4 linked regions of the Struthio camelus genome follow. The protein of the gene in region 1 purifies or fractionates together with the protein of each later gene. This does not show direct contact. Links are inferred from orthologs where the notes say so. Each region holds a gene or a part of one and is shown in the gene's direction. Other genes may lie near its edges.

Region 1 (7,968 bases):
TTGCAAACTGGTGCTCGTGAGGTGGGCTTCTCTCTCTGCTTTGCAGTCAGCTGTGCCACTGAGACGGCCAGTGGTCCAGTAATTTCTGTTCATGCTCTGCAGCTTCCTAAACAAATCTCTGCTGCTCTCCTTCTCTGACTCACTGAGAAGATCCACATTCAACCCAAAGCGCTTGGTGTTGGAAAGGCTTTGTAAGATCTGCAGGATGGCATCTCCGTCTTCATGACAGATGTTCTCTGCCAGCACAGTAAGGAATTCACCCAGGAGGCCAAACCCCAGGTCAGCCTGAAAGATTCTGCCCAAGGCCTTGCCTTCAAGTTTAAGCAAAAGCTGGTATTTTTCTTTTCCGCTTGTTAAGCATCTGCGCCAATCTCTGTAAAATTCAGCAGAGGTTCCAGGCAGTTGATCTAGTTCCTGCAGGAAAAAACTGTTTTGTTCCCACTTGAAAATTTTTATCCCCCCTTACCAATCCATGGGTGTCTGACAGACACTTTTAATACAGACTTTAATAGCATAAAGAGGTGCATAAAGCTACTGAGGTGGCAAAGTATGCAGGAAGATAAACAAATATCAGGTTAGACAAGCCCAGAGGAAACCAGAGAACTTCAGAGGGAAAGAACAGAAGAATGGGTGAGACATGAAACAAAGTGTGGAAGATAAGTAGTGGAGTAACCCTAAACCTAGTCAGAACTACTCAGATGAACTGCTGAGCCTGGATCCACTGTCACTGCTCAGGAAGGGATCTGCTGGAGATTGTGGTACTTAGTGAAAACCTCTGCTCCATCTCAAGCACCATGAAGCAAATCAAAGGGACGAGGAGATAAAAGATATGGGATGTAAAACCCAGAAACTGTTCTGATGCCCCTAGCACGCCCTTTCCTTACATACTGCATTCCTACGGGCCTGTGGTAATGTGCTTGGACTAAAAGAAAGAGACATGCTCAATGTGGCATCTCCAGATAAAAGGAAGTCTTTTTTATCCAACATGTAATCAGATTGCTGAACTCATCACTGCCAACTTAACTCAAGCGCAGATTGAAGTAGGATTAAAATGTTTAGGCTTTTATACAGCTAGTGAAAACAAGCCACAGCAATAACAGGCTGTGTTTAAATACAAAATGTAGATGCCCTGGAGATCAGAGCCCAAGCACTAATGAGATTAGGAACAGAATTTCCTCTAGGAGGATCACTGTTCAGTGCAGCCAAATCTAAAGCTGCCTGGAAGAGTTGCAGAAGGATCTCATAATAACAGGCAAATGAGATTCACTGTCAAAAAATTCATGAGATGCTTGTGAGAAGCATCCACGGGAAATATCTCTAGCTACATGTTCAGGGATAGACTCTATTGCAGCTCCCATCCTGCAAGAAATTATCCCTGTCACTGTGTCACTGGGCCAGTAAAAGTCATCATGGATAGTCTTCTGAAAACATCAGCTTATGCTCAGCAGCAGTCAAACTGGCAAAGCCAGTGTGGGGAGTTAGTAGGAAAGCAACTGAAAATAAAACAGAATGATTGCTTTGTGATTGTATAAATCCACAGGGTACCCATACCTTGAATACTGCCTGCAGTTTGCCTACCCTTTTGCACAAAAATAAGCTAGCACTGGCAAAGAGAAGGGCAACAAGGGTGGTTGGAGGTACAAAATGCTTTCTATATCAGAAAGCATTAAACTGACCAGGACTTTTCAGCTTGGACAGAGTCCACTGAAGGGGGTAGGACAGGTGTCAGTTAAATCACAAATGACCGGGACAGGAAATGTTTATTTACTATTTCCCACAACTGAAGAACTAAGGAGCATCCCAGGAACTCATCAGGAAGTAGGTTTAAAACAAACAAAATAGTACTTTTTCACAGCATGCATAATTACACTGTGAGGTGAAAAGGGACAGGCCATATCACAGAAGATATATCATCTGTGGCTATTAAATGTGACAATCCTCATGCACAGACTGGCTCTCAGTCTCTAAACTGCAGCCAGCTGGAAGAGTATGGACAAGGGAGGGCACTCTTCCCCAAGAATCTGTTACTGGCCAGTATCAGAGGTGGGATATTGGGAGCTCTCCTCTGACACTGTACAGCTGGTCCTAGATTGCCAAACAGTTGAAATAGCCTCTTCTTGAAGCAGCTGGTGCAAGTCCTTGTCAGACACAAAATAGGGGCCAAGACTGAACCCTGAAGTTATCTAATTCCAGTATTTCTGGGGATTTTGAGGGCTTGTTCCCAGGTAGAAATATTTTTGAATAACTCTTGCACTTTAAAATAATACCCCACATTATTCCGGAGTAATTTTTAGATGTGGACAAAGTCCCAGAAAATGTCTCCTTCACCTGGGCTATTTCCACGTTGCTGACTTGCTCTCCTTTAGTGTGGGTTGCACAAGGATTCCACAGCAGGTTTCTTTGCTTACCCATTTTGTCCTTTTTCTCTAGAGGCTTCAAGTGTGATGCCAGCACGATATCCCTGCAGGCAACAGAAGAGGAATGGGATATTTAGCAAGATCAAATGCTTCCAGGCTTTGAGTCTCTTCTGCAGTGCCTGCTGTGAGGCTGGCAATTTCTGAGTTTGTGGCATGATACATATCAAACAAGATCTGGATTCAAATCAGATCATGAAGCATCATTGATGGATCAGAGGAAGAGAGAGGATATCGCATGGGGCACCTGGCAGGTACATCTTGCTCACATACTCAGTATTAACCTAATCATCAGGATCAACTAAGCAGGAATTTCCCCAGAGGCTGGACTGCTCTAGAGCACTACGATGGTACCTCCCCAGCATGGGGAACAGGAGCTGGGCATTTCTGACATTTTTACCTTGCCAGAGCCAGGGCCCAAAGAAATGGCAGGACACTTTTGTCCTGCCCTTTTCTTACGGTACACTGAAGATTTTGTCACTTTTAGGCTTTCACGGGAAAGGTCCTAATTTTCTACAGCGCCTAGGGATTGTTTTGTAGTTTGCAGAGTGCTGGACTGGTTATGTTTTTGTGGATTCATTTGAATTCAGTGTCTTATTACACTGATGTCTATGACCACACCAGCCCGGACTCAATGCCTCATGTGGTTCCTTTTGTTTCATGGGATGAACCTCTGTCTCTAGTTAGGCCTCACAATAATTAGCTGGAGGAGATCTTTTGAGCAGTCCCTGCTACTATGCTAGTGAGCCTCTCTAGTAAAGGCACAGCACCCACAGATAGAAGCTGTTCTGTTACCTCCCTCAGATTACTTCTATCTTTAATAATACAGCTGCATTGCAGATTTTGTGGACAGAGTAGGAATGCAGGGTTTTTTTTCCCTATACTTTAACCAACGAATACTACACTGATAGAACTCTGCAGCATAGAAACATGTTCACAGGAACCCTTTTATAGGGACCAGAAGACAGAAGAGAAAATACCATTTCAAAATTTTCCTTCCCTTTCACAGATCTGATAGCATGACTGAATGCATGTGGAGGTGAGACCATGAATGCAATTTGCTCTAGTCATGGATCAGTCTATCAAGGGTGCTCAAGTTCCTGGATCCATCTACAGATCTGGCTGTGGATATCAGTGGGCGAGAACTCAGTGGGGATCAGCTACAGTTGGGGTGGCAATTGGAGCATTCTGTGCTGCCTGCCTCCAAGGAGCTTGCCTGCCATCCCAGGACCATGTTTCAACCCTGCTCAGAGCTCTGGCTGCGTGATGATGACTTTGGGAGCAAGAATACCCTGAGTGGGGTGCTGGGGACCATGTATCACCTTGTCCCTCTGTACTGCCATCACTGCGTGGGGCTGAGAGAGCCTGAGGGGAGGAAGGAGGTCAGGACAAAAACAGTTGGGTGACCACATTAGTGTATAGTGAGCTTAGGCCTGTCTCTAAGAGGTCTCAGAATTAATCACCATCACTCATGGGGTTGTGCTGGCTCTGTGTCAGGAATATCGAGAGCCAAGCACTGGGCACTGGCGAGTTAGAAAAGTGACACTGACCCGCTCAATCCTAATCCCTCTAAACTCGAGGGAATACAGCAGAGGAAGTTAACAGATCTCTGCAGGACATGAAATAAAACAAAACTTCCCTTGAAGAAGGACTTCTGTACTGCGAGGACAGCTTTCGGCAGACCTGAACTCCTCGTAAGATGCCACTTTCTGGTGCACGGCCCGGAACTTGGCGCTGTTTTCCCTCTCATACTTCTCGTCGGCAGCCACGGCTGCTCGCAGCTCTTTCTCCAGAGCGCTGAAGTCGATCGCGCCGTCTGCCTCCATTGTGCACCTAGGAGCAACGGAGAGCGTGGGCCCAGGCTGCCGAGGCGATGGTGGTGGAGCAGCCCCCTGGGCAGGGGGCCAGCACCCGCGGCAGGGCCTAAGCGGCACCCGACACGGGTGCAGGGAAGGGGTCCAGCCAGCGGGCGGGATGGTGGGGCCCCGAGAGGGAGGAATCACCCGCCAGGAAGGAGGCTGAGGGCTGAGGGGACACAGGGACAACCGCTCATATCGTGACAAGCACGATGGGCTGGTTTGAGCCCACAGCCCACTGTGGGGACGACTGCTTCTGCCACGCCAGCCCTGCCGGGCTGAGCACACTGCTGGCCGCAGGGACTCCTGCTAATATCGCGACAGCCCCACTAGGCTGAGCGCACCCCCGACGTCAGGGACACCTGCTGCTATCGCGACAGCCCCACCAAGACGAGCACGCGGCCAGCCTCAGGGATACCCACTCGTACCGCGACAGCTCCACCAGGCTGAGCGCACCGCCGGCGTCAGGCACACCCGCTCCTATCGCGACTGTCGCGACGGACCGGGCTCCCCACCGGGCGCGCGGGCGCCCCTAGCGTCGCCATGGCGACAGGGCAGCGCGGCGAGGCCCCGACTCGGGGCTGCCCCGGACGGCGCCTGACAGAAACGGCCCGCCCCGCCGCGCCGGGCGGCCCGGCCCGGCCCGGGGCTGCCGAGACCCCGCCAGGACCCCCGCGGCACCGCCCGCCTCGGCCCCGCGGCCCTGCCGGCGGGCCTGTCCCGTCAGGCGGCGCGGGCAGCCTGGGGTCCTTGCGGCCTGGTGGCGCGCGGCGCCGGCGGCGAGGGCAGCGCGCGGCGGGTGAGCGGGGCCGGGCGGCCCGGCGGCCCCGGGGCAGGGCCGGGAGCGACACGGGCCTCGCCGGGCTCCGGGGCACGGAGCAGGATGGGGGGATCCGGGGCGGGGCAGGCCGCACCGGGCGAGGAGCCCCGGTGCAGGGCAGAACCGATACGGGGGGCAGTGCAGGCCGTAACAGGCCGGGGGTCCTAATGCAGGGCAGAACCGGGATGGCATCAGTGCAGGCCATAGCGGGCCGGGGGTCCCGGTGTGGGGCAGTCCCGGGGATGGGGTCAGTGCAGGGCAGTGCACGCAGCAGTATCACCACCCACCCGCTGATCCGCGTCCCTGTCCCTCCACCCTGCAGCATGGACACCGACCTGTACGACGAGTTTGGGAACTACATCGGGCCGGAGCTGGACTCTGATGATGACGATGATGAGCTGGGCAGAGAGTCCAAGGATCTGGACGAGGTGAGGGATGGGGATGGGTTGAGCTTTGGAGTCTGGGGGGAGCTTTGCATGCACGCTGTCCTGCCCATTACTCGCCTTGTTCATGCTGGGTGCAAAAAGGGCCGCACGGAGCAGGCACTGAGCCCCCAGCCAAACCCATGGTCATCACAAGCTGCCAGCAATTCCTTTTCCCTGCCAGGCCCTGGTTCTGCAAAAAACTTTCTTCGGTGATGGACTCTGATCCTATTTTATTCCTAATGATAGTAACAGAGTTGATTTAAAAAAAAAAAAATCCAGCAAAAGCTGCATTCCTGTTAGTGTGTTAAAGAGAAAGAAATACCGTTTCTGCTTGAGTCTCTGTTACAATCTTAGGTAGTTCAAGCCATATTTGACTTTGTACTCAATCAGAAGATCCAGATCCTTTCAGTAAGGTCCTTAGGCTGCCTCTTAGTCCTTTCTTAATATACACTAATGCTATGGCAGTATTGTAAGGAGCTCAATTCCCCAGTGATGGGCACAGTGTAAGACACTGTGGACACCAGAGCAGAGATATGGGCAGTGTTTATAAGGACAGCAGAAGGGGGCGTTCTGCTGTGCCATGTCAGTGAAAGGTTTGGAGGAGCTAGGAAGCCCCTCCCAGTCTAGTCTTCCTACAGCTAAAAAGTGGTGTCTGTTGTGTTTGTGAATGAAGGACAAGAGCTGCTCTCCGTGCAGGCATCACTGCAAATGCTGTAGTTTTAAAGGTGGCCTGTGGCTTTTAGGAATGGTGCCGCGGTGGGAAGATTCATCTTGCTTATGGAGATCTTTTCTGCAAATCGCGCTGCAGTTGGTTGCAATATGCCGGGGTTGTCATCATCGGTGGCTCTTTGGCTGTATGTGGGCTTATGGCTTTTTTTTATTGTATGATGCCAAGGCCTATAAGACTTTCTGGGGAGACTGAGGGTTATAAAGCAGTTTGATGCCCTGGGGGATGGCAGCAGCTAAACGTGAGTGTTGGTTGCAGCTCGAGGATGATGATGAGGATGATGATATGGGAGACCATGACGAGGACCACCCTGGGATGGAGGTGGTGCTGCATGAGGATAAGAAGTACTATCCCACTGCTGAGGAGGTCTATGGGCCTGAAGTAGAAACAATAGTACAAGAGGAAGATACGCAGCCTCTCACTGGTAAGTGGTGTAAAGCAGTGAGTTGGGTGTGGAGCGAGGAGAAGTCTCTTAGCAGATCTTTGGAAAAGGGAACATATTACTCCCTTCCATTCTCCCCATTCCCCATGACTTTTAACATCCCTCTTAAAAACCCTCACAGCCTCTAAAATGCATAGACTCTTCCTGTTTGTCTAGCAGTGTCCAGATTTTGGCACTCTGGATTACTGCAAATGCCAAACAAACTATCTTTTGAAGAGCAGACATTGGCAGACACTAGAAGGTTATTTAAAGAGATGTGAAAATATGTTTAAGTCATCTCATTTGTTTCTCCCATAAAAAGATAAAAGAATCTCTCAGCTTGAAAATTGTGTTTCTATCTTCAAAAATCCCCGTTTAGTATTAGCATTTCTGAGAACACTGTTGTTCAGGGTCATTCATAACAATTTTTGTTGTACTTTCTCTTGTTTTCAGAGCCTATTATTAAACCCGTGAAAACTAAAAAATTTTCTTTGATGGAACAGACGTTACCGGTTACTGTCTATGAGATGGAGTAAGTAATATGTAGGGGTTTTAAGGGTGTACTTTGAATCAATCCGTCTGTGCTGTGACTCTCTTGCTTTTTGTTGTTTACAGGCAAAGGTAGAGAGGCAGAGTAGTGTGCGCTATAACGGAGGAGAAAGCTTAGGAGGAGCATTGGGTTTGTTTCTTACTGACACCAGCAATATCACTGTGAGTGCAGCCGTTTCCCCTATTTTGAGGCAAAAAGAAGAGGAAGAAAGCACAAGAGTAACAAATATTTGCCTTGCACAGTATGCGGTGTAGGGCACTAATTTTCCTACCACTAGAACTTAAATCTTTTGTCATTTCTTATCAGCTGGTGTAAACCTTGGCAGTTGGAAACCCTGATGGTATGGGTTTGCTGAAAGCAACTTTTCTTGATTGACACAGCAAAAATTTATATGGCCAGTGTGTTGCACACTTCATATTGATATAGCCGCACTTCATATTGATATAGCCGAAAAGGACATTTTGCTTTGATCCCAAAGAACATAGGCCTACAGCTGTCTCAAATTCATTCCTGTCTATTCTGGAGGAGTTTGCAGGAAGGATTTGTATACCACCACTTGTGCATGAACCACTGCCAAGTTGTGTGTAGGTTAGTATAAAGCTGCAGCTAAGCTGTGCTTCTGCTGCACTTGATGGTATCTGCTGGTTGTACCCTGCAAAGCGGTCCCTGGGGATACCAGAATCTGGAGCAAACCACTCAGAAAAAATTCCAAACAGAAAATTGAGTTATTCTCTCTCAAATCCTATCTAAAAGTG
Region 2 (8,008 bases), on another chromosome or scaffold:
GATGGCTCTGTGCTTTTTAGGCAAGACAGGCCAGGAAGGCGAGGTGGTGGAGTTGCCCTTTATGTGAGGGAGCAACTAGAATGTATGGCGCTCTGCCTGGGGTGGGGTGGGGTGGGGTGGGGTGGATGAAGAGCAAGTTGCGAGCCTATGGGTAAGGCTTAAAGGGCAGGCTAACGTGGGTGACACGGTGGTGGTGGGGGGTTTACTGCAGGCCACCCGATCAGGAAGAGGCAGTCGAGGAGGCCTTCTACAGACAGCTGGAAGTAGCCTCACGCTCACAGGCCCTGGTTCTCATGGGGGACTTCAAGCACCCTGACATCTGCTGGGAAGAGAGCCCAGCTAGACACAAAGAGTCGAGGAGGTTCCTGCGGAGCATTGAGGAGAACTTCTTGACCCAGGGGGTGGCGACGCCAACAAGGAGAGGTGTGCTGCTGCACCTGGTTCTAACAAACCAAGAAGGTCTGGTTGGAGATGTGCAGGTTGGGGGCAGCCTTGGCTGCAGTGACCGTGCGATGGTAGCGTTCAGTATCCTAGGAGGAGGAAGCAGGGCAATAAGTAGGACGGCAACGCTGGACTTGAGGAGAGCTAACGTTGGCCTCTTCAGGGACCTACCTAGGGGACTGTCATGGGGTAGGGCCCTAGAAGGAAGGGGCGTGGTGGTGGTGGGGGGTGAGTCCAGGAGAGCTGGTTAACATTCAAGTATCACTTCCAGCAGGCTCAAGACGGGTGCATCCCGCTGAGTAAGAAGTCGAGCAAAGTGGGCCGGAGAGCTGCGTGGCTGAGCAAGGAACTGCGGGCAAAAGTCACACAGAAAGAAGGAAGTCTAGAGAATGTGGCAAAGGGGACAGGCCACTTGGGAGGAACGTAGGGGCGTTGTCAGCGTGTGCAGGGATGCGACAAGGAAGGCTAAGGCCCCTTTGGAATTAAATCTGGCAAGGGATGTCAAGGAGACGAAGAAGGGGTTCTTCAACTACCTCGCTGGCAAAAGGAAGCCTAGGGAAAAAGTGGGCCCGCCGCTGAATGGGGCGGGGGCCCTGGTAACGAAGGCGCTAGAGAAGGCAGAGTTGCTGAATGCCGCCTTTGCTGCTAAGGCCAGCCCTGGGGAATTCCAGAGCCTGGGGACAAGAGAGAACGTCTGGAGAAAGGAAGACTCTCCCTTGGTGCAGGAGGATGGGGTTAGAGCTCGCTTGTGCAAACCTGACAGCCACAAACCCATGGGCCCCACTGGGATGCACCCCGCCCCCCCCCCCCAACACACACACCCCCGAGTGCTGCGGGAGCTGGCGGATGTTATTGCTAGGCCGCTCTCCATCATCGTGGCAAGGTCCTGGAGAACAGGAGCGGTGCCTGAGGCCTGGAAGAAAGCCAGCGTCACGCCAGTCTTCCCAAAGGGCAAGAAGGAGGAGGCAGGAACCGCCAGGCCTGTCAGCCTCACCTGCATCGCTGGAAAGGTGATGGAACAACTCCTGCTGGAGGTCCTTGCCAAGCACGAGGAGGACAAGAAGGTGAGCAGGAGTAGTGAGCATGGCTTCAGCAAAGGGAAGTGATGCTTGAGCAATGTGCTAGCCTTCTGTGTTGGAAGGACTGGCTGGGTAGGTGAGGGCAGAGCAGTGGCTGTTGTCTCCCTGGACTTCAGCGAGGCTTTGGACGCTGCCTGCCATCACATCCTCCCAGGTGAACTGAGGAAGTGTGGCTGAGATGAGTGTGCAGTGAGGTGGATGGAGAACTGGCTGGCTGGCAGAGCTCGGAGGGTGGTGGTGAGTGGCGCAGAGTCTAGTTGGAGGCCTGTAGCTGGCAGTGTGCCGCAGGGGTCAGTGCTGGCTCCAGTCTTGTTCAATGTCTTCCTCGAGGAGCTGGAGGAAGGCACAGAGTGCCCCCTCAGCAAGTTTGCTGATGCTCCAAAGGTGAGCAGAGTGGCTGACACACCAGGAGGCTGCGCTGCCATGCCGAGGCACCTGGGCAGGCTGGCGAGCTGGGCGGAGAGGAACCTGCTGCAGTTCAACAAAGGCAAGGGTAAGGTGCTGCACCTAGGGAGGAAGACACCCCTACACACACACAAGCAGCAGGACAGGCTTGGGGGAGGGAGGGAGGGAGAGAGAGTAGGGGGCTGACCTGCTGGAAAGCAGCTCTGCAGAGAAGGAGCTGGGAGTGCTGGAGGACAACAAGTGAAGCATGAGGCAGCAATGTGGCCTTGTGGGGTGTGGCATCCTGGGGTGCCTGAGGAAGAGTGTTGCCAGCAGGTGGAGGGCAGTGCTTCTCCCCGTCTCCTCAGCCCTGGTGTGGCCACATGTGGAGTAGTGGCTCCAATTCTGGGCTCCCCAGTACGAGAGAGAGAGAGAGAGAGACATGACACTACTGGAGCGAGTTCAGTGGAGGGCTACAAAGAGGATGGGGGGAGAGGGGGACTGGAGCATCTCTCCTCTGCAGAAAGGCTGCGAGAGCTGGGCCTGATGAGCCTGGAGAAGAGACGACTGAGCGGCGATCTCATCAACGTGTCCAAGTATCTGGAGGGAGGCTGTCGCGAGGATGGGGGGCCAGGCTCGTCTCCGTGGTGGCCAGTGACAGGACAAGAGGCAACGGGCAGAAACTGGAAGCCAGGAAGTTCCATCTGGACCTGAGGACAAACTTCTTTCCGGAGAGGGTGACTGAGCACTGGACCAGGTTGCCCAGAGAGGTAGTGGAGTCTCCTTCGCTGGAGCTATTCAAAACCCACCTGGAGGCGATCCTGGGAAATAGCCTGTAGAGGACCCTGCTTGAGCAGGGGGATTGGACTAGATGAGCTGCAGAGGGCCCTTCCAACCTCAACCATTCTGTGATTCCGTGATTCTGGAGGCACAATCTCTCCTTCTGGCAGACAGCACAGGAATGTTCAGTGGTAGGCAATCCATATTGCAAAGGAAAGTGATCCAAGCAGTTTTACTTCCCCTGTGCTGGCTCTGGCACAGACTGGATGAAATGCACGCAGAGAGCCCCTTTTCGCATTGGAACTCTTAGAAAAGAGCTATGCATTTTAAAAGCCTCATTAGCACTGTGAGAGCACAGTAGAATTACCTGAAGTGAACACGTAAGACCAGGAAGTTTGCCCTTACAGCTCCAGTCCTGAGCATCAACTAAGATCTTTCAGTTTGACTCCATGCTGGACCACCCTGTACCGCTTTACAGATGAAACCCAAATCCCAATCTGTTTCTTGGAAAACATGAAAGAATTACACGAACAAATTCTCTGAGGAGGGAAGACAGTGTCCCATCACAAAAAGCCAGTCCCTCTGTTGGTGCCGTATTCTCCTCTGCTACTCACCTTTCTCTGGGTGCTAGCCTCTGAGTGCTGCCATCTCTTTGCAACTTCTAGGACCTTTTCCTTCCTCATGTTCTTTTTTTGCAATTCAGCAGCAGCCCCTGCCAGAAGTTTTTTCTTCTCTTCCTCTAGTTGTTTTGAGTTCAGACTCATGGGGCAAACCTTAGCTTCGCTTTTCTGATTGAGATCATTCAAGATCCGCCAACACCCAAACAGAACATGCTGGTGACTTGATGTCAGCCTTCCCAGGGCACAGCCAACATCAATAATGCAATGGTATAAAAGCAGCTTGTGGCTCTCTTTTAATTGGGGTAATAACAAGAGAAGGCATGCCACAGCAGGATCTAGACTGTACATAGACAGCAGCAAGTTCACTATTCTGTAGTTTACAGTGAGATAGCAATGCAAAGGTATCCCAGGTCCTAATGTGTAATAACAGAGCACAGAATGGTGAGGAGTAGCAAAAGGTCCTCCCTGGGGAAGGATCACCTTACAGAACTAGAGAGGAGCAATCCAAACAATATAACCTTGAAAGGAAGGAAACACCTCCCAGGCAGAGATAGCAAGAACCACTCTGGAGCTCAGTGGCTGCTCTTGGTTCATTTGGGAGCCCTAAGGTGAGGAGAAGGACCAACAGGACACCTACTCCTTCTATAAGCTAGATAGGGAAGTACATGCTCCCTTCCTACTATCACACCCACCCACCAGATGATAAAAATAGATCTTTGGAAGCCAAAACAGTAACAGTCCTTCAGTGGCAAAGCCCTCAGCCAGCTCAGTTAGCAGGACACCCATCTGCTGGGCTAGGCTTCTAGTATCAGGGGATTGGTGTACCTAAGAAACAAGGAAGAGGGCATGGGAAGAAGGCAATGAGAGGAAAGGGGGAAAATTAACTCAAAGCAAAATATGGGTAACCAAGACTGGCTTAATGGAGGCTAACATATAAAGATGCATCTACTGATCTTGGAAGTCTTGGCTTCCGAGTATTTAGTATGAGACTTTCAGGATTCAATTCTCAGAGGTGTTGAATGCCAACTCCTCCAACTGCAGTTGCACAGGTAGGGAAAGAGATACTGAAAGTGGAGGATTGGGTGCTGCTGAGTCCCAACGACAGCTCTGTCACTGCCTCCAATGTGAATAAATCGTCATTTTCAGCAGTGCCAGCCAGCAGTTCCCACTAACGTTTCCGGGAACAGCTGGGTGTGCAGCACTGCGGGAAAAGGAGAATGAGGTAAGAATTTCTCAGGGGGAAGGTCATTCACCATAGCCTCGAAGGCACAGACCCAACTCCTTCTTTTGCAATCTCAGGCTGCCCACTTAAGCTCTCTGCACTTCCTTTACTGGAATAATTAACAGGATTCTGCCCAAAGATGTGAAAACCGCGCCTTGGCCCCAGCACACTGAGCAGTCCAACCACGCAGCGCATGCAGCTCTAGTGCTTTCCGGCATAGCTTGCTGTACCAGTCACACACCTCTCTGCAGCCTGACTTTACGTCTGGCCTCACCCACCGGTGGCGCAAGGCCCGGCGGGAGTTGTAGTCCCTCGGCCGGTAGACCCCACTTCCAGGCGCCGCGCGCTCTTCCATGAGCGAACTACACCGCCCAGCGCACCGCGCCAACGCCCCACTATCCGCGCCATGCCTGCTGGGAGCGACCAGTGCGCGCCGAGGCACGGACGGCTTCCCGGCCTGCCGCGGGCCTCGCGGTGCGTTGTGGGACTTGTAGTCGAGCTGTCGCCCCCCTCCCATTCCGTCACGCCGGTACTGCGGCAGCAGGGGGAGGGGGCGCGGAAAGACTCCATTTCCCGGCAGGCAGCGCGCGGAGCGGGCCCGAGGTGCTCGGCAGCAGCTGGAGGAGAAGCCGGTCGGTGAGGAGATGGCGGTCGATAAGGATGTGTTGCAGCTGGACCTGTACGGCCTGCTGGGAGTCGGGGAGAAGGCGTCGGAGAAGGAGGTCAGGACCGGGGCTTCCGTGGTGCGGGACCCCTCTGCTCGGCGGCTTCAGCTTTTCTGCTTTTCACGCAGTAACGGAAGTTCCCGCCGCTTCATAAGGGGAGGAGAAGGCTGGGCTTTGGGGTTGTGTGCTTGCGCTGCTCCCTGCATCGTCAGTGCAGCGATGATCCCGAGCGCCGTTTTAACGCGGTGTTGCTGCTATGGGCGCTGCTGCGTTTGTAGTTGGCGTGGTGCTGCGTTGTCGCCCGTTAGCTGCTGGCTGCTGCACTTGTTAACAGGACAAAGAACTCCTTTTTTTTAATGTTGGCCTGGCTGTGCTCAACTGACGCTTCTGTTTTCTGGTCTTAAGTCTGTGGAGGGAGACTTGGTTTTGGAAGAGGATGAAATCAGTTGAAATGAGTTGCAAACTTCCAGTTAGCCTCAGCCAATATTTATTCTATGTTGTTTGTTTATGTGCCTTCAGAAGGAAGGCTCCTCTCTGGTGTTTACAAAAGAAAAAAAAACTCAGTTATTAGAGATCGTTTTTAGCTACTGTAGGTCCTCATCAGATATCTTACTAATTTTGTGCTCTTTTAAAAATTACAAGTTCCTATTTTTTCTCTAATTAAAGAGCTAAGTCAATGCTATAAATACCTGAAGGGCCTACACGATTAAATGGGGAAACTGGCTGACCTATTCAAGGGCAGTAAGACTTGCTAAGTAAAACTATTACTACCTGAACAAAGTTTAACTTAAAAGAAAAACTTTATTTTCCCCTGTTAAGTTCCCTCTCTCTTTCTCTCTTTTTTTTTTTTTTTTAAGCAGTAAAGAGCATTAGAAGAACAGTTGAGTAAAACTTGGAAGTCTGGGTCTGTCCAGCAATTGTATCAGAGGCTGCCTGGAAATTCCAGGTACCATAAGCATGAAATCGGGAAATAAGCCAAATATAAAACACAGGATTGAGTGAGATGAAAGACTTCAGTTGACCTCAGCTTTGCTGCTGAGCTGCTCAATGAGGGAGGAAAAAAAAAAGTTACAATTTGAGTGTTACAGTACAACTTAAAAATTGACAAGTGTAATTTGGAGTTCTACTCCTTGGTATAAAATACTTGAAACAACTCAGAGAACTATGTTCAGAGAAGCATCCCCAAAAGAGCTGAACAAAGGGGAGCAAAGCTTACTTAATCTTTGCCTAAAGAAATCTAACTTCTCTGTTTAGAGAAGCCTTAGCTAAACTTACTGTATAGAACAGTTATTCAGATAGTTGTGAATGATGCATATGAGAAGACTTCCCTCTCTTTGCTGAAGTCTTACCTGTGGAGGATATAGAATTAGGCCTATGATGTTTCAGCTACACATTTACCTTCCCTTAGTGTTGTCCACCAGGTGGTGCCCAGCCACCACTTATTTCTTTCAGTCGAATTAAGGCTGCTTGGCAGTTGAACAGAGCAGCTTTTTTTGCATGCATATGTTCCCCCTGATAAAGAGAACTCAAATTGTTAAAAGCCTCTGTAGTGACTTAGCCCATAAAGTTGTCAATTTAACTTTGAAGTGTAGAAGAGATTAAGTAGTCTTTGGTCAAAATTTCTTCACCTGCCAAACTCAATTTTTGTGCAGTGAATTGCACATACTCTGTCCCAAATAGCTATAGCTGCTAAGAACACTGTATGCCTCTGACTGGGTAGAAAACTCTGCCTCAGTGTATTAGATTTGGTCTTGATGATCATGACTGCTGTGGCACAATGCACCTAAAAGTAAAACTTCTGACCTTAAAAAGTTTAAATTGATTGAAAATGTAGCTGTCTCTCTACTAAATGTCCTGGACTCAAATGGTTATCCTTTCAGTACTGTGTGATAAAAAGGGCAGGTCACTGCACTGAAGTTGAAAATTGAGTTTCAGTATTCTCTTGCTATTACAGTAGGCGCCTTCATTTTTTGTGTTTGAGGGACTAATGGCACTCCAAAAATGGTTTTTATTTTCTATCAGGCCCGGGAGACTTCTAGCCATGCAAATGAATGTTGGCTCAACTACAGTCTTCTGCTTATGATAGAGAGGTATGTTTTAAATTGAGCAAAAGCAAACAAACAAAACCTCTGAGTAGGATTTTTTTTTTATGTTTCTGTGGTGCATTTTTCCAAGTTGTGTTTCTCAGAGCAGACCAAACAGTACCAACTGACAAATCTCTGTTCTGGCTCTTACAGGTTAAGAAAGCATACCGCCAGAAGGCCCTGACTTGTCACCCAGATAAGAACCCGGACAATCCCAAAGCAGGTAAGACTGGAACATATGAACACAAACCAGTGTTCTTGTCTGATCCACATGTGCAGATTCCTGGAAGTGGCTCTATTTAACCTCAGGTCTGTCTTTGCATGCAGTTAAGGGAATACCTGATTTTGTGTCATGTGATGTATACACATGCAGGATTAAGAGTTATATTTCTTGCTCGTTTCCTCTGGGTTTTAAGATTAAATGCATGCATGTTGGCTTTCAAAAGCGTAAGTGTTAAGTGAATGCTGAAATTTTATTTGCACTTCTCAAAATCCTTCCATCTGGTACTTGAATCCTGGACCTTTGGCCATATTGTCACTGATGTTAGCTGGCTAGTCATTCTTCTGAGAATCGAAACTTTAATAGCAAGCTTATAAATCATTGTTATATATGGGCAATGCCCATTATTGTCTGTTAGAGAGTAGGCCCTGACTCTGTGCAGCTGAGTACACCTCAACTGTTAGCAAGGTCTGTGGATTCTACAGCTTCTCCATTTGTTTTGCAACTACCGGC
Region 3 (7,549 bases), on another chromosome or scaffold:
ACTAAGCAAACAGCTCCTAATGAGAGGTGCAGAGTCAGTGGAGTTAATTGTGTGGCTTCTGATCTGCCTTCTCTCTTATGAGAATTGAGTGTTGAATCCTGGGAACAACTGCCAAAGCATGTTGCAAACGATGTTTGTTATTCACTTCATGTTCCTTCTGAGCTTGTCTCATCTCTCTTCAGGCTCAGAGCAGACCCACTTACTATGCACCCAATCAAATGACGCAGATGAGACCTAACCCACGCTGGCAGCAAGGGGGGAGACCTCAAGGTGAGCATGCTAGACACAGTGCTTTGGTTGTATGACCCTTTTGGCTGTATTTTCCAACAAGAGCAATGCATAGTTTCCCTGCCATGCAGAGCCCCAACCTGCTGCTTGTAGCTGACTGTCGTGATTGCCAGTCAGTTCTGTTTTGAGGATTTCCCCTCCTTTCTTCCATTAGGCTTCCAGGGAATGCCAAATGCCATGCGCCAGTCTGGACCACGGCCAGCACTGCGCCATCTGGCCCCTGCCGGCAATGCTCCAGCCTCTCGTGGCCTCCCTGCCGCTGCCCAGCGAGTTGGTAAGGTGTCTGCCTCCCAGGCTCTTCCCCTCATTCATGGGGAAGGGGGATGGTATTAAGACTTGACTTTTACATCAGACGTGGATAACGGAAGGCTGCCTGGAGCAAGGGGCAAAGACGGCACCTGAATCTTTCCTGTTCCTTGCTGTGCAGTGCAGGTCTGGGGACAATTGGTGCTACAGCAAAGCAGTGGAAATCCAGATGGGTTGCTTTCCTTTCACCTGGAACTCATCTCTACAACTCTGCAACACTTACTGCTCAAAAATGGCTCTGTAGATTATGGGTGGTGGTTTCAGAGTAAAGCATCCAAATTCACTTTATTTCAGGGAATAAGTAGAAAATGTCTTAAAAGCAGATATAGAATCTATGGCTTAGTGTTAGGGAGGGTAGCTCCTTTCTAAAGAAGCCAATTGGATTTTGGAGGCCAGTTTCTAAACCAGTATTAGGCTGTGCAGTGCATAATTAAAGTCCAGCAGTTAATATCAGACATCCCAATTTGCTTGCTGCGTGTTACTGTGGCTGTGTAATTCTGTCCTACTCTTCCTTTTCAGGTGTTGCCGCTGCAGCGCAGAATTTAGCTCCTCGTCCGCCAGTAGCTGCCCCTGCTCCCCGAGCAGTTCCTCCTTATAAATACGCCTCGAGTGTTCGCAGCCCACATCCGGCTGTACAGTCTTTGCAGGTAATGCAGTGGTCTGCTCTGTCAAGTCTGTCTAGTTAACGACAGTCCAACAGGTTTTACACGCAGCTGAAGTGTTTTTACAGAAACTTCAAGCTACTTTTTTATAGTCCCGACAGGGATCAGAAACTGGAATTTAGAAAACTGGCAGTTGTCGTCACATACCTCCGCCAGGGGCAACTTGGTTGATTTGTCTGTCTTACTCTTCTAAGCCCTTTTTATCCAGATTTGCTGTAAGGCTGCTATTCTTGGCTCTTTGCTCTCACACTTTTGCTAGCTTTCACTCTCTCTCATCTCTTTGCTGAATTCTCGCTAGGGTATCACTGAAAGCACAGCTTGCCTCTCTATACACCGCTGCATTGTGCAAAAAGCAAACATGGGTGTTTCTCTTTCTCTGCCATGACATTTGCCTTATAATGCAAGGTCCAGTTTTTATAACTAGGATATTTGCAAGCTACGTGCCCCTGTGTGACATTCTAGTTTTTGAGAATAGGACTTGGAGCGTGTTTGTGAACACAGGGCACCTTATCTGTCCTTTTCTGAAACTGACTCTACTGCAGGCCTGACAGAGTGCCATGTTTTAGAGGAAGGAAGAACTGCCTTGTCTTTAAATATGAAACAATCAGTCTGGCATCTGTTTTTGAATCCTCATCTTTGCCATTCTATAGGCACCTCAGCCTGCAGTACATGTGCAGGGACAGGAACCACTAACGGCCTCCATGCTGGCTGCTGCACCTCCCCAGGAGCAGAAACAGATGCTGGGTAAGTGAATCTCCTGTTTTTTTACAGATCACATCTTATTTTGGAAATCCCATCAGGTTTCAGAGAACTGTTTGATGGAAGCCAGCCTGTCTGAACTGTTTTGTTTGGTTGGTTTTGTTTTTAGGCGAGCGTTTGTTCCCTCTGATTCAAGCTATGCACCCCAGCCTTGCGGGGAAGATCACAGGAATGCTGCTAGAGATTGACAACTCGGAGCTGCTGCACATGCTAGAGTCTCCAGAATCCCTTCGGTCAAAGGTAAATTGGCCTGTTCCTTCAGAGGGGGCGTGGATTGGGGCACCTTAGTGAAGAGAACAGGTCTCACTTTGATAACTTGTCCACCCAAGGTGGAGGAGGCTGTTGCAGTGTTGCAGGCTCATCAAGCCAAGAAAGAAGCTGCCCAGAAGGTGGGCGTGGTTGCTGCTACCTCTTAAACCAGGAAGACTGGTGAGTGTCCCGGTCCTCAGCTTCCGATAAAAGTTTCCCAAATCAGAGTACATAAAGCGTTATTGTCAGTGTGTGCAGCCTGTCTGGAAACCTGTGTGTAGGTCCAGGTGCAGCACTGACTGAAAGACTGATGCATTTTCTCCAATAGAGAATCGTTACGGTAGAAGCTGTAGAGGTATGCTTCAAAGATCTCACTGTATTTAAGTATCAGAAAGATGTTGCATAGGTTCCTGAAGTGTCAACTACTAGGAGCATGTCAAGGAAGGATAATATATTGAGATGAGGCTTCTGAAGCTGCTAATCTAGGAAATAAAAAAGGTAAAAGATGCACAAGATGTTCCAGTGACTTCAAGGCTAAATAGACTGCTAATGCCAGTTCCTTATCCTGACAATCATCTGCCTACAGTATATATTAAAGTCCTGGTGTCAGGAATGTCATTTCATTGTGTAGGTTTATCCAAGCAAGCACTGTCTGTGTTTGGTCCTGGCTCTCATTTGACTTCTGGATAAGATTTTTGATTCTTTGAAGGTTCTTTTTGCTTTTGTTGATGAATTCCTCCATGTGGGTTTGTCTGGACTTAACCATGAACGTCTTGCACTTTTTGTGAAGTTGTTCTGGTCAGATGTCACAGGAAGATGTCACAACTCCAAATGGTAAAGAATGATGAGGGTTCTTATATTTCATTAGTGAATTTCTGAGTGGATCCAGTGATTGGCTTCTCCACGAAAGATGTGAATTTCTTACCAAATCATCAGCAATGGATATTATCCGCAAGAGGAAGACAACTTCTCTGTTCGTTGCAAGTTATACTGGAGTCCTTATGGTTTATAACGCTGGATAGTTCACTAGCCTGGTGTGAACTATGCCATATGCAGATAACTTGTCTTCCTCTTTTTTTACAGGATGCAAAGAAGCCAAATAGTCCCTTCCTAGACATCAGCTCAAGATGTTTGAAGATTCTTCACTGTCCTGCAAATCTCAGTGCCATGCATCATATCACATAGTTAGTTATATTGCATTTTGTAAATTAATCTTTACAATCTTATTTAAAAAGCCAGCTCCATGAAGCTCTAGATTTCCAAAACCAGAATTAAGTTTGCAAGCTTTTCCTTTGTGGTCAGGACAGTTACCCTTTGTCTTTTCTAGGCAGGACATCGAGGATTTCTGATTGAAAGTTTTTTGTGGTTTTGGTTTTAACTGAACAATCCAGTTTGGAAAGTCTGGAAAGCGTTTATCAATAAAGGAATAAAAACTTTCACTACATTTGTTGTCTTTTTTCTAGAATGTAGTAAGCTGCATCACATTAACTTATCAAATTGAACTGGCAGGCAGTTGTCACATGATTGATATGTTAAATCGTGATTGAATTGAGTTATTCTGCTTGTTAACTTTGGACAATCACAGTTTTGGAGCAACTGTGCTAAAGTTCTGCCACAGGATGATTATGTTGGGTTTGGTTAGTGTCCAAATGGTGAATATAACCAAGTGGTGACCTAATAGAAGGCAGTGGGAGGCATTTTTCAAGTGGAGCATGAAAGAGGTTTGGATCGCTTTTTGTTGCCTGTGGGAGAAGAAATTCTTTCCTGCTCTTCGCATATATTCTTCCTTCTTTCAGCTGGATGTTTTCCTTAGTGGTTCTGTCATTACAGAACAATCTGGCTTTTTTATACTCTACAAGGTGGCTGTATTCTGGTGGTGAGGTTAGTAAATGCTTTGTAAACCATTTTGGGTGATCCTTTGGGATGAAAAGCATTTGGTTACCCTGTAAAAGGAGAATGGCTGCTCCCTAGTGGAACTGAGGCTTAATTTGGACTTGCAAAACTAGAAACTTGTGCCTGAGAAGGTCCTCGAAAAGCAGAAAGACCTCTCATGTGCATTGTAATGTTGTTTTGCCTGCCTGTCCTGTGGGGGGGGGGGTATTTTTATTTTTATTTAAGAGCAGGAGAGGGTAGTAAAACATGCAAGTATCCCCCTTGGAAATCAGGTAGTGTGACACACAACACCGGACCTTCCACGTCGGAGGCGCTGCCCGCGGGGAGCCCCGGGCGCGCCGGGCCGGGCCGGGCCCCGACGGCGGCGGCGGCAGCGGGGCGGGGCGGAGCCGCCGTGCGGTTCCGGGGCAGGGGCCGGGCGGAGGCTGCCGGGGAGGGAAGATGGCCACCACCAAGCGGGTGCTGTACGTGGGTGAGCGGCGGGGCCGGGGGCCGGCGGGCGCTGCGCGGTCGGGGTCGGGGCGGCGGGCGGTAACGCGCTGTGCGCCCCGCAGGCGGGCTGGCCGAGGAGGTGGACGAGAAGGTGCTTCACGCCGCCTTCATCCCCTTCGGAGACATCACCGACATCCAGATCCCGCTGGACTACGAGACCGGTGCGTGGTCCAGGGCGGGGGGGCGGCGGGGAGGGGGCTCGCCGGGGCTCCCTGCTTCAGCCTGGGGGCAGCAGCTTCTTCCAAGGGCTCCTCGCCTCGTCCTGGGGCTCGTGGGCTGGCCCTGGGGCTTGTGGTTTCGTCCCAGGGCTCAGCACTTCAGCCTGGGACTGGCCACCCGATCCTTGGGCTCAGTTCTTCATCCCAGGACTCCTCACCTCATCCTGGGCTCACGGCCCTAATCCCATGGCGCCTAGTTTCATCCCAGGGTTGGTTGTCTTTGGTCCTGCAGCTCATAGCCTGGTCCCAGGCCTGCCTGCCTCCTCCTGGGGCTCCTCATCTTATCCCAGGGCTCACCACTTCCCCTGCCATCTTGGGATGGGCTGCTTGGTCCTGTGGCTCACTCCTTTGTCCTGGGACTCACAGCCTGGTCCTGGGGCTGGTGGCCTCATCCTGAGGCTTGCAGCATTGTCCTAGGGCTCCCCACCTCATCCTGGGGCTCACCACTTTGTCCAGGGACTGACTACTTGGTCCTGGGGCTCAGTCCTTCATCCCAGGGCTCATGACCTGGCCCTGGGGCTTGTGGCTTCATCCCAGGGCTCCTAATTTTGTCCTGGGGCTCCTGATTTCATCCTGGACTGTCTGGCTGGTCCTGGGACTCACTGCTTGATCCCAGGCCTGTCTGCCTCATCCTGGGACTCCTCACTTCATCTCAGGGCTCACCACTTCATTCTGGGACTGACTACTCATTCTGGGGCTCACGGCCTCGTTCTAGGGCTCCTCACCTTGTCCTGGGGCTCACCGCTTCATCCTGGGACTGGCCACCTGGTCCCAGGGCTCATGGCCCGGGCCTAGGGCTGGCTACCTAGTTCTGGGTCTCCTCATGTCACTCTGGGGCTCGCTACTTCATCCCAGGGCACACCTCCTTATCCCTGCTCCCTTTGACTGCTCGTTTTTCTCTCCGCAGAAAAGCACCGAGGATTTGCCTTCATTGAATTTGAGCTGGCAGAGGTGAGGAAGGGGCAAATACTTGAGCAGTCTGGAATCTCTTCTTCCTTCCGTGGCATTTTAGACCAGATCCTCCTCTGGTTGAAGACAGCAGGAGTTTTGCAGCTGATTTGAGCAGGCACAGGTTGCCTGTCCTAGCTATGGGCCATTCTCCAGTAGCTGCAGTCGAGTTGCTGTTTTGTCTTTCCGAGTTCCCAGTTTTCCCATTGTCTTTTGGGCTGAAGCATGGCCACTCCTGGTCCAAAACACCCGCTTGCTTTCCCTAGAGCTCATTTTGTCTTCAGCAGCAGTGGGTGGGTTTCTCAGCTTGGTTGGAGCATGGGATGTCATGACCTATCGTGGGCTTCATTAGGCAAGATCTCTCGTCTCCTTTCCCAAATATTAGTGTAAACAATCAAGGATCTTACATGAAAAGAAGAGAAAAAATGGCAATAATGATCTTTCCCTCTTTCCCCAGGATGCTGCAGCAGCTATTGACAACATGGTATGGGCTCTGTTCCCATCTGCATGCTGAATGCTGTCTTGGAAAGTGAAATCGCTGCTCCTCTCCTCACAGCGTGGGGCTTCGCCCTCTTCCCAGTAGGAGCAAGGCAGATTGTTTCAGAAATACCTGTCAGCTCATCTCCTTCCTCCGCATGCCTGATACCGCACCATTCGCAGGAGGGGAAGGAGAGCACAATAACAGCCCCAGAACCGAGCTGTCCTGGGCAGCCAGTGTTGGGAACGGACACGAGCTGGCGATAACCCCAGCAAAGTTTAGCGGCAGCTCTGGCTGTGTATAACGTCGATGAAGCTGTCTGCAAAAACAGGGCGGGCGCTGCTTCAGGTGTGGCCCCGGGGGGCGAGCGCCGGGGCTTGAGCGCTGCTGTGGACCAGGTCCTTGCCCGCTTTGTTTGCATGTTCGCCGTTGCCTGTGGTCTGGTTGCAAGGTCTGGGGCCCTCAGTCCAAAATCAGGAGGAGGGGGAGAAAGGAAGTTCTGTGTTTCTTTGACCTCTGCAGGGATTTGGAGGGAATAGCGATATTTTACCTTTTGGTGGGCTTTGTTTTGTTTTTTCCTCTACAGAATGAATCTGAGCTCTTCGGCAGGACAATCCGTGTGAACCTGGCCAAACCAATGCGGATTAAAGAAGGATCATCAAGGCCTGGTGAGTCGGTGCTTGCGAGAGGAGCACAGCCCAGTGAACAACTGTCAGCACCTCGCGCTTGCTCCAAAATCGGCCTTTCTTTCTGCTTTCCCAGATCCTGGGGCAGAGACCTCAGCTTGTATTGCTCTGCCTCCCATTTGGGGGTCTCACCAGCATCCTAATAACCAAAAATACCCGATTCCTTGATGAAAACACACTTTGCTGTGCTTCCAGCTGCCTTCATGTTCTCTGACTGTTATTTCCCTGTTGACCTGGGTGGCGTGGGTGGCTGCATGCTTTGTCTTTTGGGGTAGGCTGCTGCCAGCCGAGCGCTCCCGCGTGCGATCCCGCTGCCTGGGCCGTGCTGTGCTCTGACCCCACGCAGCTGCATGCATGCTCACACGTGGCCGTTGGGTTCGGTTCCCATGCTCTGACCCTTCCTTTTGCTGTCGCAGTCTGGTCGGATGACGACTGGCTGAAGAAGTTTTCGGGGAAGACTCTGGAGGAGAACACAGAGGAGGGGGCAGCAGAGGCCCCCAAACCAGAAACACAGGAGGTAGGAAAAATAAATGAGCCAAAGCCACAGGGACTCCTGTGAGCGGAGGAGGG
Region 4 (6,914 bases), on another chromosome or scaffold:
GAGCCAAGGCCACTTCTGCCATCCTATGGGGAGGAGTCCCTACAGGGCTACCCCATGGGGAGCCAGAACCACCTCATGGGGAGGAGACCCTGCAGGGCCACCACATGGGGACTGAGGGCCACCTCTGCCACCCCATGGGGAGCCAAGGCCACCCTGACCACCCCATGGGGAGGAGACCCTGCAGGGCCACCCCATGAGGACCCAGGGCCACCTCTGACATCCCATGGGGAGCCAAGGCCACCCTAGCCACCCCATGGGGAGGAGACCCTGCAGGGCCACCCCATGAGGACCCAGGGCCACCTCTGCCACCCCATGGGGAGCCAAGGCCACCCTGACCATCCCATGGGGATGAGACCCTGCAGGGCCACCCCATGAGGACCCAGGGCCACCTGTGACATCCCCTGGGGAGCCAGGGCCACCCTGACCACCCCATGGGGAGGAGACCCTGCAGGGCCACCACATGGGGACTGAGGGCCACCTCTGCCACTCCATGGGGAGCCAGGGCCACCCTGACCACCCCATGGGGAGGAGACCCTGCAGGGCCACCCCATGAGGACCCAGGGCCACCTCTGCCACCCCATGGGGAGCCAAGGCCACCCTGACCATCCCATGGGGATGAGACCCCTCAGGGCCACCCCATGAGGACCCAGGGCCACCTGTGACATCCCCTGGGGAGCCAGGGCCACCCTGACCACCCCATGGGGAGGAGACCCTGCAGGGCCACCCCATGAGGAGCCAGGGCCACCTCTGCCACTCCATGGGGAGCCAGGGCCACCCTGACCACCCCATGGGGAGGAGACCCTGCAGGGCCACCCCATGAGGACCCAGGGCCACCTCTGCCACCCCATGGGGAGCCAGGGCCACCCTGACCACCCCATGGGGAGGAGACCCTGCAGGGCCACCCCATGAGGACCCAGGGCCACCTCTGCCACCCCACGGGGAGCCAGGGCCACCCTGACCATCCCATGGGGATGAGATCCTGCAGGGCCACCCCATGGGTACCCAGAGCCACCCCACAGTGCCACCAAGCCACCCCCTACCCCATCCCTCCCTCCCTGCTCCTCACCCGTGAGGTTGTGGGCGAAGGGGCCGGGAGGAGCGCGGTAGAGGAAGCCGCGGCGGGCCCAGGAGTCCGGGGGCAGGGGCCGGCAGCGGGGGGCGCGCACCACGATGGCCACGGCAGCGCCCAGCATGCCCAGCCAACCCAGCCAGAAGAGCAGCAGCAGGGCGGCCCGGGCTCGTGCCCACCCCGCCGCCCCGGCCACCCGCACCAGCTCCTCCTTGCCCAGCCCCGTGAACTTGGCGCCCGTGCCGCCGCCGCCGCCTTCCTCGCCCTCCTCTTCCTCATCCTCCTCCTCGCCGGGCGCCGCCCCGCCAGCGGATTTCGGGGGCGCCGCTTTCACCAGCCCATTTTTCTCTTCGACGCCACCGGCCATCGGCTGCTTCTCGGCGTCCAGTGTCGTCAGCTCCACGTCGCGCAGCGCCGCCGCCTCCGGCTCCATGGCCTGCGGGTGAGGTGGACGCCCCCGCGTTGAGTCTCCTGGGCACCCCGAGATCCCTCCCAAGCACCTCGAGATCCCCCCAAACCCATCTGAGCACCCTCAAATCCCCTTCTCTGGGAGGAAAATGCTCCCAAACATCTCCAGATCCTCCTAAGCACCCACCAAATGCTCCTCCAAGGATACCGAGATCCTCCTGGGCACCCCGAGATCCCCCTGGACCCACCTCAGCATATCCAAATGCCCATCCAAAGACCCTAAGATCCTCCTGGGCACCCCGAGATCCCCCCAAACCCATCTGAGCACCCTCAAATCCCCTTCTCTGGGAGGAAGATACTCCCAAACACCTCCAGATCCTCCTAAGCACCCACCAAATGCTCCTCCAAGGATGCTGAGATCCTCCTGGGCACCCCGAGATCCCCCTGGACCCACCTGAGCACACCCAAATGCCCATCCAAGGACCCTAAGATCATCAAGGACCCTGGGCACCCCAAGATCCCTCCCAAGCACCCTGGGATCCCCCCGAACCCACCTGAGCACCCCCAAATCCCCTTCTCTAGGGGAGAGATATTCCCAAACATCTCCAGATCCACCTAAGCACCCCCAAATGCCTCTCCATGGACCCTGAGAGCCTCCTGGGCACCCCGAGATCCCCCCAAAGCCACCCAAGCACCCCCAAATGCCTCTCCAAGGACCCCGAGACCCTTCTGAGCACCTTGAGATCCCCCCAGAGCCATCTGAGCAGCCTCAAATTCCCCCCAAGCACCCTGAGGTACTCCTGGGCACCTCAAGATCCCCCTGGACCCACTTGAGCACCCCCAAATCCCTCCCCAACCATCTCCAAACCCACTTGAACACCCCTAAGTCTCCCTCCTGGCCACTCTGAGATATCACCCAGGCCTCCCCCAGACCCACCTGAGCACCCCCAAATCCCCTCAGGCACCCAGGACTCACCTGGGCACCCCCCAGTGCCCTAAGAGCCTCTGGAGCACCCCGAGATCCCCCTGAGCACCCCAAGATCATCTCTAGGTACCCCCAGACTCCACCCCAAACACCCTGAGATCCCCCTAGGTGCACCCAGACCTTGCAGGGTCCCACTGTGCACCCCAATATCCCTGCAGGCACCTAGAGAACCCCCCACCGGGCACCCCAATATCCCCATGGGCACCCCCCAGACCAGGCAGGGCCCCACTGTGTGCCCCAAGACCCTCCCGGGCACCCCCAGAGCGTGCAGAGCCCCACTCTGCACCCCAATATGCCCCCCAGCACCCCGATATCAGGCACCCCCAATAATTTGGGGTCCCCCCCCAATCATCCATAGCTAAATCCAGGGTCCCCGGACTCCTGGGTCCCCACGTCAGGCAGGGTACCGCGCCCTTTTCCCCTAAAAACAGGCATCTCCCCTCAAAATAGTGGGGCCCCCCCCAAAATAGTGGGGAACCCTCCGAAAAGCAGGAATCGCCCTCAAAAAGCGAGCCACCCCTCCCCCTCCCCGTACTTGCGTCATCCTTACTGTCACCTATGGGACGGGCAGCGGCGGCGCTGGCTCTATATAGAGCGCCCGTGCCCCGCCCCTCGCCCCGCCCCTCCGCCCCTCGCCCCGCCCCCTCCGCGGCCTAGCTCCGCCCCCGCGGCCGCAACGCGCCAGGATCAAAGTGCAGGAAGTGGGGGAGGGGAGGGGGCGCCGAGACAATGCCCCATTGTTCCCCGCCGGGTGGGGGGGAAGGGGCGGCGCCGCCCTTCCCCCACCCCGGCCCCCCCACCCCAAACCTCGAGGGGGCCCCAAAACGCAGCGCGTTCCCCCACCCCGGGGTCTGGGTCCCCCCCACCCCCAAACCTTGGGGGTGGTGGGACATGGCCCCTCCCCCCGGGCGCCATTTCGGGGTGCCCCCAGGGGGCCGCCATCTTGGCTTGCCTTTGCAGCAGCCATTTTGGGGACACCCCCCCCACCTTGGCCACCATTTGGGGGGGCCCCCAACTTGGAGACCATTTTGGGGTCCCCCCTTCCCCTCCCCGGAGGCCGTTTCTGGGGCCCCCGCCGCCCCCCACGGAGACGCCATTGTGGTGTTTTCCGCACACACACGGAGCCGCCATTTTGGTGGCCCCCTCAGGAGGCCGCCATTTTGGTGACGCCCTGGAGGTCGCCATTTTGGTGACACCGCCCCCCACCCCCGCCTCCACGTGTCCTGCCGGTTCCTGCCCGGACGCCTGGGTCCCTGGGGGTGGGGGGGCACCGGACTCTGCCCCCTTCTCCCCCCCCAACTTCCGCTGCGTCCCCACGGCAACGCGGCGCGGCCCCGCCCACCAGAGGAAGTGACGCCTTGAGGGGGCGGGGAAGACACCGCGGCTTCCGCCGGAAGCGGCGCGGCGACCCCGGAAGCGGCCGCCGGCGGGAGCGGCGCGGCCATGGGCTCCTCCAAGAAGCACCGCGAGCGCGGCGGGGCCGAGGCCGGCACCGAGGAGGCCCCGGCGGCGGCGGCGGCCCCGGCAGCAGCAGCAGCAGCGGCGGCAGCAGCAGTGGCGGCGGCGGGGGGAAGCGGCGGCGGTAGCGGCGGCAGCAGCAGCGCGGCGGGGCGGCCCCGCGAGCACCGCAAGCACCGGCACCGCGGCGGCGAGCGGCGCGGCAAGCGCAGCCGCTCCCGGGGCGAGCGCGGCGGCGGCGGCAGCGGCGGCAGCGGCTCGTCGCGACGCGGCGGCACCGAGGAGTCCGGGCGCGGCGGCGGTGGCAGCAGCCATGGCCGAGGCGGAGCCGAGCCCGACGCGGGGCGACGGGGCAAGAGGGAGCGGCGGGAGGAGCGGGACGAGCCCGGTGAGAGGGCCGGGGGGTCCCCGGGGGGCGTCTGGGGGCGGCTAGGGGGCTTGGGGGGGCGTCTGGGGGCGGCTAGGGGGCTTGGGGGGGCGTCTGGGGGCGGCTAGGGGGCTTGGGGGGGCGTCTGGGGGCGGCTAGGGGGCTTGGGGGGCGTCTGGGGAGGGTGTTTGGGGGAGGGCGTTTGGGGGCGGCTGGGGGGCTGGGGAGGGCGTTTGGGGGCGGTTGAGGTGCTTGGGGGGTGTTTGGGGGTGGCTAGGGGTGGTTGAGGGTTTGGGATGGGGGGGGTCTGTGGGGACCTTTAGGGGAGGTTAGGGGGCTTGGAGGGGTCTGGGGGCCTCTGGGGGTGGTTATGGGGCCTGGGTGGGGGTAATTAGGGGGTCTTTGGGAGTGGTTAGGGGGCTTTGAGGAGTACTGGGGGAGGTCCTTGGGGGAAGCTATGGGGCTTTGGGGAGATCTAGGCGTCTCTGAGGGTGATTGGGGGCCTTGAGGGTCCTTGGGGGTGCTGGGGGGTCTTCAGGGGGTGCTGGGAGGGGTCCTTGGGGGGGTCATTATAGGGCTTTGTAGAGATCTGGGGGTCCTTGGGGGTGGTGATGGGGCTTCGGGAGGTTCTCGGGGGTGGTTGTGGGGCTCTGAGGACGGTTATGGAGCCTTGGGGTGGTTGTGGGGCTTGGGGAGGGGGGGTTACGGGGTACTGATCCCCCTCGTTAGCTAACGACCCCCCTTGCCCCCGCCAGCCACCGCCTCTAAGGCCGCCGCGGGCGAGTCGTCGCTCAGCGTCGAGGAGACCAAGTGAGCCAGAGCCCCGCGGGGCCCCCGATACCCCCAATACCCCTCTGATGCCCCCAGTTACTTTTTGTAACTCTTAGTTGCCCCAATATTGCTCTGATACCACCCGATTATTTCTTGTAATGCCCGGTTACGCTAGTTTTTCTCTAATACTCTCAGATTATTTCCTGCAACTCTTGGGTCCGCCGGTGCTGTTCTGATATCTGTCATTTATCGTAGCCGACTCGTAGTTATACCGACGCTTTTCTGATACTTTTTCTTACACTCTCGTTACTCTGGCAAACTCCCGACACCCCAATTACCTCCTGTAACCCCTCGCGTTGCCCCCGTTACTCCTGGTCGCTCTCCGATACCCCAAACAACCCCCCAGTTCTCCTGATAAGTTCTTGGTGCTGCCCAGATTTTCACCACTGTTGTTCTGGTGCAGTTCTAAGTATTTCTAGCGTATAGTTCTTTTTTTGGCTACTTTTAATACTCAGTAGTTACTTGTTTAAGTTCTAGTGGCTGTTATTACCCTGATATACCCCCAAATCCCCCCGCTTACTCCTCAGTTGCCCCAGTACTTTTCTGATGCTCTGCAGTGCTCCCCCAATGCCGTTTAAAACTGTGCTCGTAACCCCAAAACCGCACTGTTTTGCTCTGATATTCATTCGATGTTTTCCAAGGTTTGGTGAAGTTCCTCAAATGTTTGCAGAAACCTTGAATGTTCTGTGAAAAGTCCCCATAAGGCCCCAAAATGTTCCCAGTTACTGCCAGCACTGCTCTGCGCTGCCCAGTTACCCCCAGTATCACCCCAGCATTCCCCCGTTACCCCAAATATCGTTAATACTCTGCAATTACTGCTGAATGCTTTTTAATTTTCCTTAAATCACTTCAAATGCGTTTGCTTACCATGATATTTATTAATTTTTTTCTAATGCCTGCGCTGCCCCCACCCCAGGGTGCCCCCCACCCCTGTTTGCTCCCACACATTCATTTCCACCACCCCCGTCCCCATATTTGCCCCCCAGGCCTCAATTTACCCCCATATTTGCCCCCTTTTCTCACCCCTTTGTTTTTCCCCGTTTCCAGCAAACTCCGCGCCAAGCTGGGGCTGAAGCCGCTGGAGGTGTCCGCTGTGAAAAAAGGTGAGGAGAAAGTGCCCCCCTCGCCCCACTTTGGAGGGGTTCCCTGTGTTCTTGGCCCCCCCCCAACGCCCCCTTTTTCCCCGTTTTTCCCCCCAGAAGCCGGCACCAAGGAGGACCCGGTGGCGGCCGACGTCATCAACCCGCTGGTGCAGCGGCAGCGGGAGGAGATCCGCGAGAAGCTGGCGGCCGCCAAGGAGAAGCGGCTCCTCAACCAAAAACTGGGGTGAGCCTCCCCCCACCAACCTGCCTCTGCCCCGGCAGCACCCACACGGGTGGGGGCGGCCCCAAGAACCCCTTTTTTTCCCCCGGAACAAGGAAAGTGAAGACGCTGGGCGAAGACGACCCGTGGCTGGACGACGCGGCCGCCTGGATCGAGCGGAGCCGCAAGCTGCAGCAGGAGAAGGAGCTGGCGGAGAAGAGGGTGAGCTCTGGGAAGGGGACCCAGGCGTCCGGGGGTGCCCTGCCCCTGTGCCGGGAGGGGACCCAGGCATCCGGGTGGGTGAATAACCCTCCCTGCCCCCACCATGGGGTTAATTCGGGGCGAAACGGCGCCGTTTCAGGCCAAGCTGCTGGAGGAGATGGATCAAGAGTTTGGTGTCAGCACGTTGGTGGAGGAAGAGTTCATGAGAAGGAAGCGGGTGAGCTCGGGACCCCCTTGGGGACGTCAGGACCCCCTTGGGGACACCCCTGAGC

The links.
Region 2: the proteins of EFTUD2 (region 1) and DNAJC17 purify together in Homo sapiens (affinity purification with mass spectrometry; 4 studies listed by BioGRID and IntAct, with this or other methods). This does not show direct contact. The link is inferred for Struthio camelus from reciprocal best matches to the Homo sapiens genes EFTUD2 and DNAJC17.
Region 3: the proteins of EFTUD2 (region 1) and PPIE purify together in Homo sapiens (affinity purification with mass spectrometry; 3 studies listed by BioGRID and IntAct, with this or other methods). This does not show direct contact. The link is inferred for Struthio camelus from reciprocal best matches to the Homo sapiens genes EFTUD2 and PPIE.
Region 4: the proteins of EFTUD2 (region 1) and SART1 purify together in Homo sapiens (affinity purification with mass spectrometry; 4 studies listed by BioGRID and IntAct, with this or other methods). This does not show direct contact. The link is inferred for Struthio camelus from reciprocal best matches to the Homo sapiens genes EFTUD2 and SART1.

What each region holds. Positions count from the first base shown.
Region 1 is NC_090966.1:726,348-734,315, forward strand, and holds the start of EFTUD2 (116 kDa U5 small nuclear ribonucleoprotein component), read left to right. Parts: upstream 1-4,962; 5' UTR 4,963-5,069; exon of another isoform or gene 5,070-5,141; intron 5,142-5,412; 5' UTR 5,413-5,413; coding exon 5,414-5,518; intron 5,519-6,500; coding exon 6,501-6,666; intron 6,667-7,116; coding exon 7,117-7,195; intron 7,196-7,968. Other genes in the region: CCDC103 (coiled-coil domain-containing protein 103), read right to left, coding at 1-414, 2,329-2,461, 4,098-4,240. UniProt on the Homo sapiens protein: Required for pre-mRNA splicing as component of the spliceosome, including pre-catalytic, catalytic and post-catalytic spliceosomal complexes. Component of the U5 snRNP and the U4/U6-U5 tri-snRNP complex, a building block of the spliceosome.
Region 2 is NC_090946.1:4,485,352-4,493,359, forward strand, and holds the start of DNAJC17 (dnaJ homolog subfamily C member 17), read left to right. Parts: upstream 1-5,004; 5' UTR 5,005-5,170; coding exon 5,171-5,248; intron 5,249-6,048; exon of another isoform or gene 6,049-6,137; intron 6,138-7,213; exon of another isoform or gene 7,214-7,242; coding exon of another isoform or gene 7,243-7,281; intron 7,282-7,428; coding exon 7,429-7,498; intron 7,499-8,008. UniProt on the Homo sapiens protein: May negatively affect PAX8-induced thyroglobulin/TG transcription.
Region 3 is NC_090964.1:8,126,541-8,134,089, forward strand, and holds the start of PPIE (peptidyl-prolyl cis-trans isomerase E), read left to right. Parts: upstream 1-4,535; 5' UTR 4,536-4,598; coding exon 4,599-4,629; intron 4,630-4,711; coding exon 4,712-4,810; intron 4,811-5,774; coding exon 5,775-5,818; intron 5,819-6,272; coding exon 6,273-6,299; exon of another isoform or gene 6,300-6,602; coding exon of another isoform or gene 6,603-6,641; intron 6,642-6,879; coding exon 6,880-6,961; intron 6,962-7,395; coding exon 7,396-7,496; intron 7,497-7,549. Other genes in the region: PABPC4 (polyadenylate-binding protein 4), read left to right, coding at 183-270, 443-562, 1,114-1,241, 1,907-2,000, 2,125-2,255, 2,345-2,431. UniProt on the Homo sapiens protein: Involved in pre-mRNA splicing as component of the spliceosome. Combines RNA-binding and PPIase activities.
Region 4 is NC_090976.1:737,773-744,686, forward strand, and holds the start of SART1 (U4/U6.U5 tri-snRNP-associated protein 1), read left to right. Parts: upstream 1-3,905; coding exon 3,906-4,308; intron 4,309-5,042; coding exon 5,043-5,097; intron 5,098-6,165; coding exon 6,166-6,221; intron 6,222-6,317; coding exon 6,318-6,444; intron 6,445-6,536; coding exon 6,537-6,642; intron 6,643-6,781; coding exon 6,782-6,859; intron 6,860-6,914. Other genes in the region: amino acid transporter heavy chain SLC3A2, read right to left, coding at 1,067-1,505, 2,998-3,006. UniProt on the Homo sapiens protein: Plays a role in mRNA splicing as a component of the U4/U6-U5 tri-snRNP, one of the building blocks of the spliceosome. May also bind to DNA.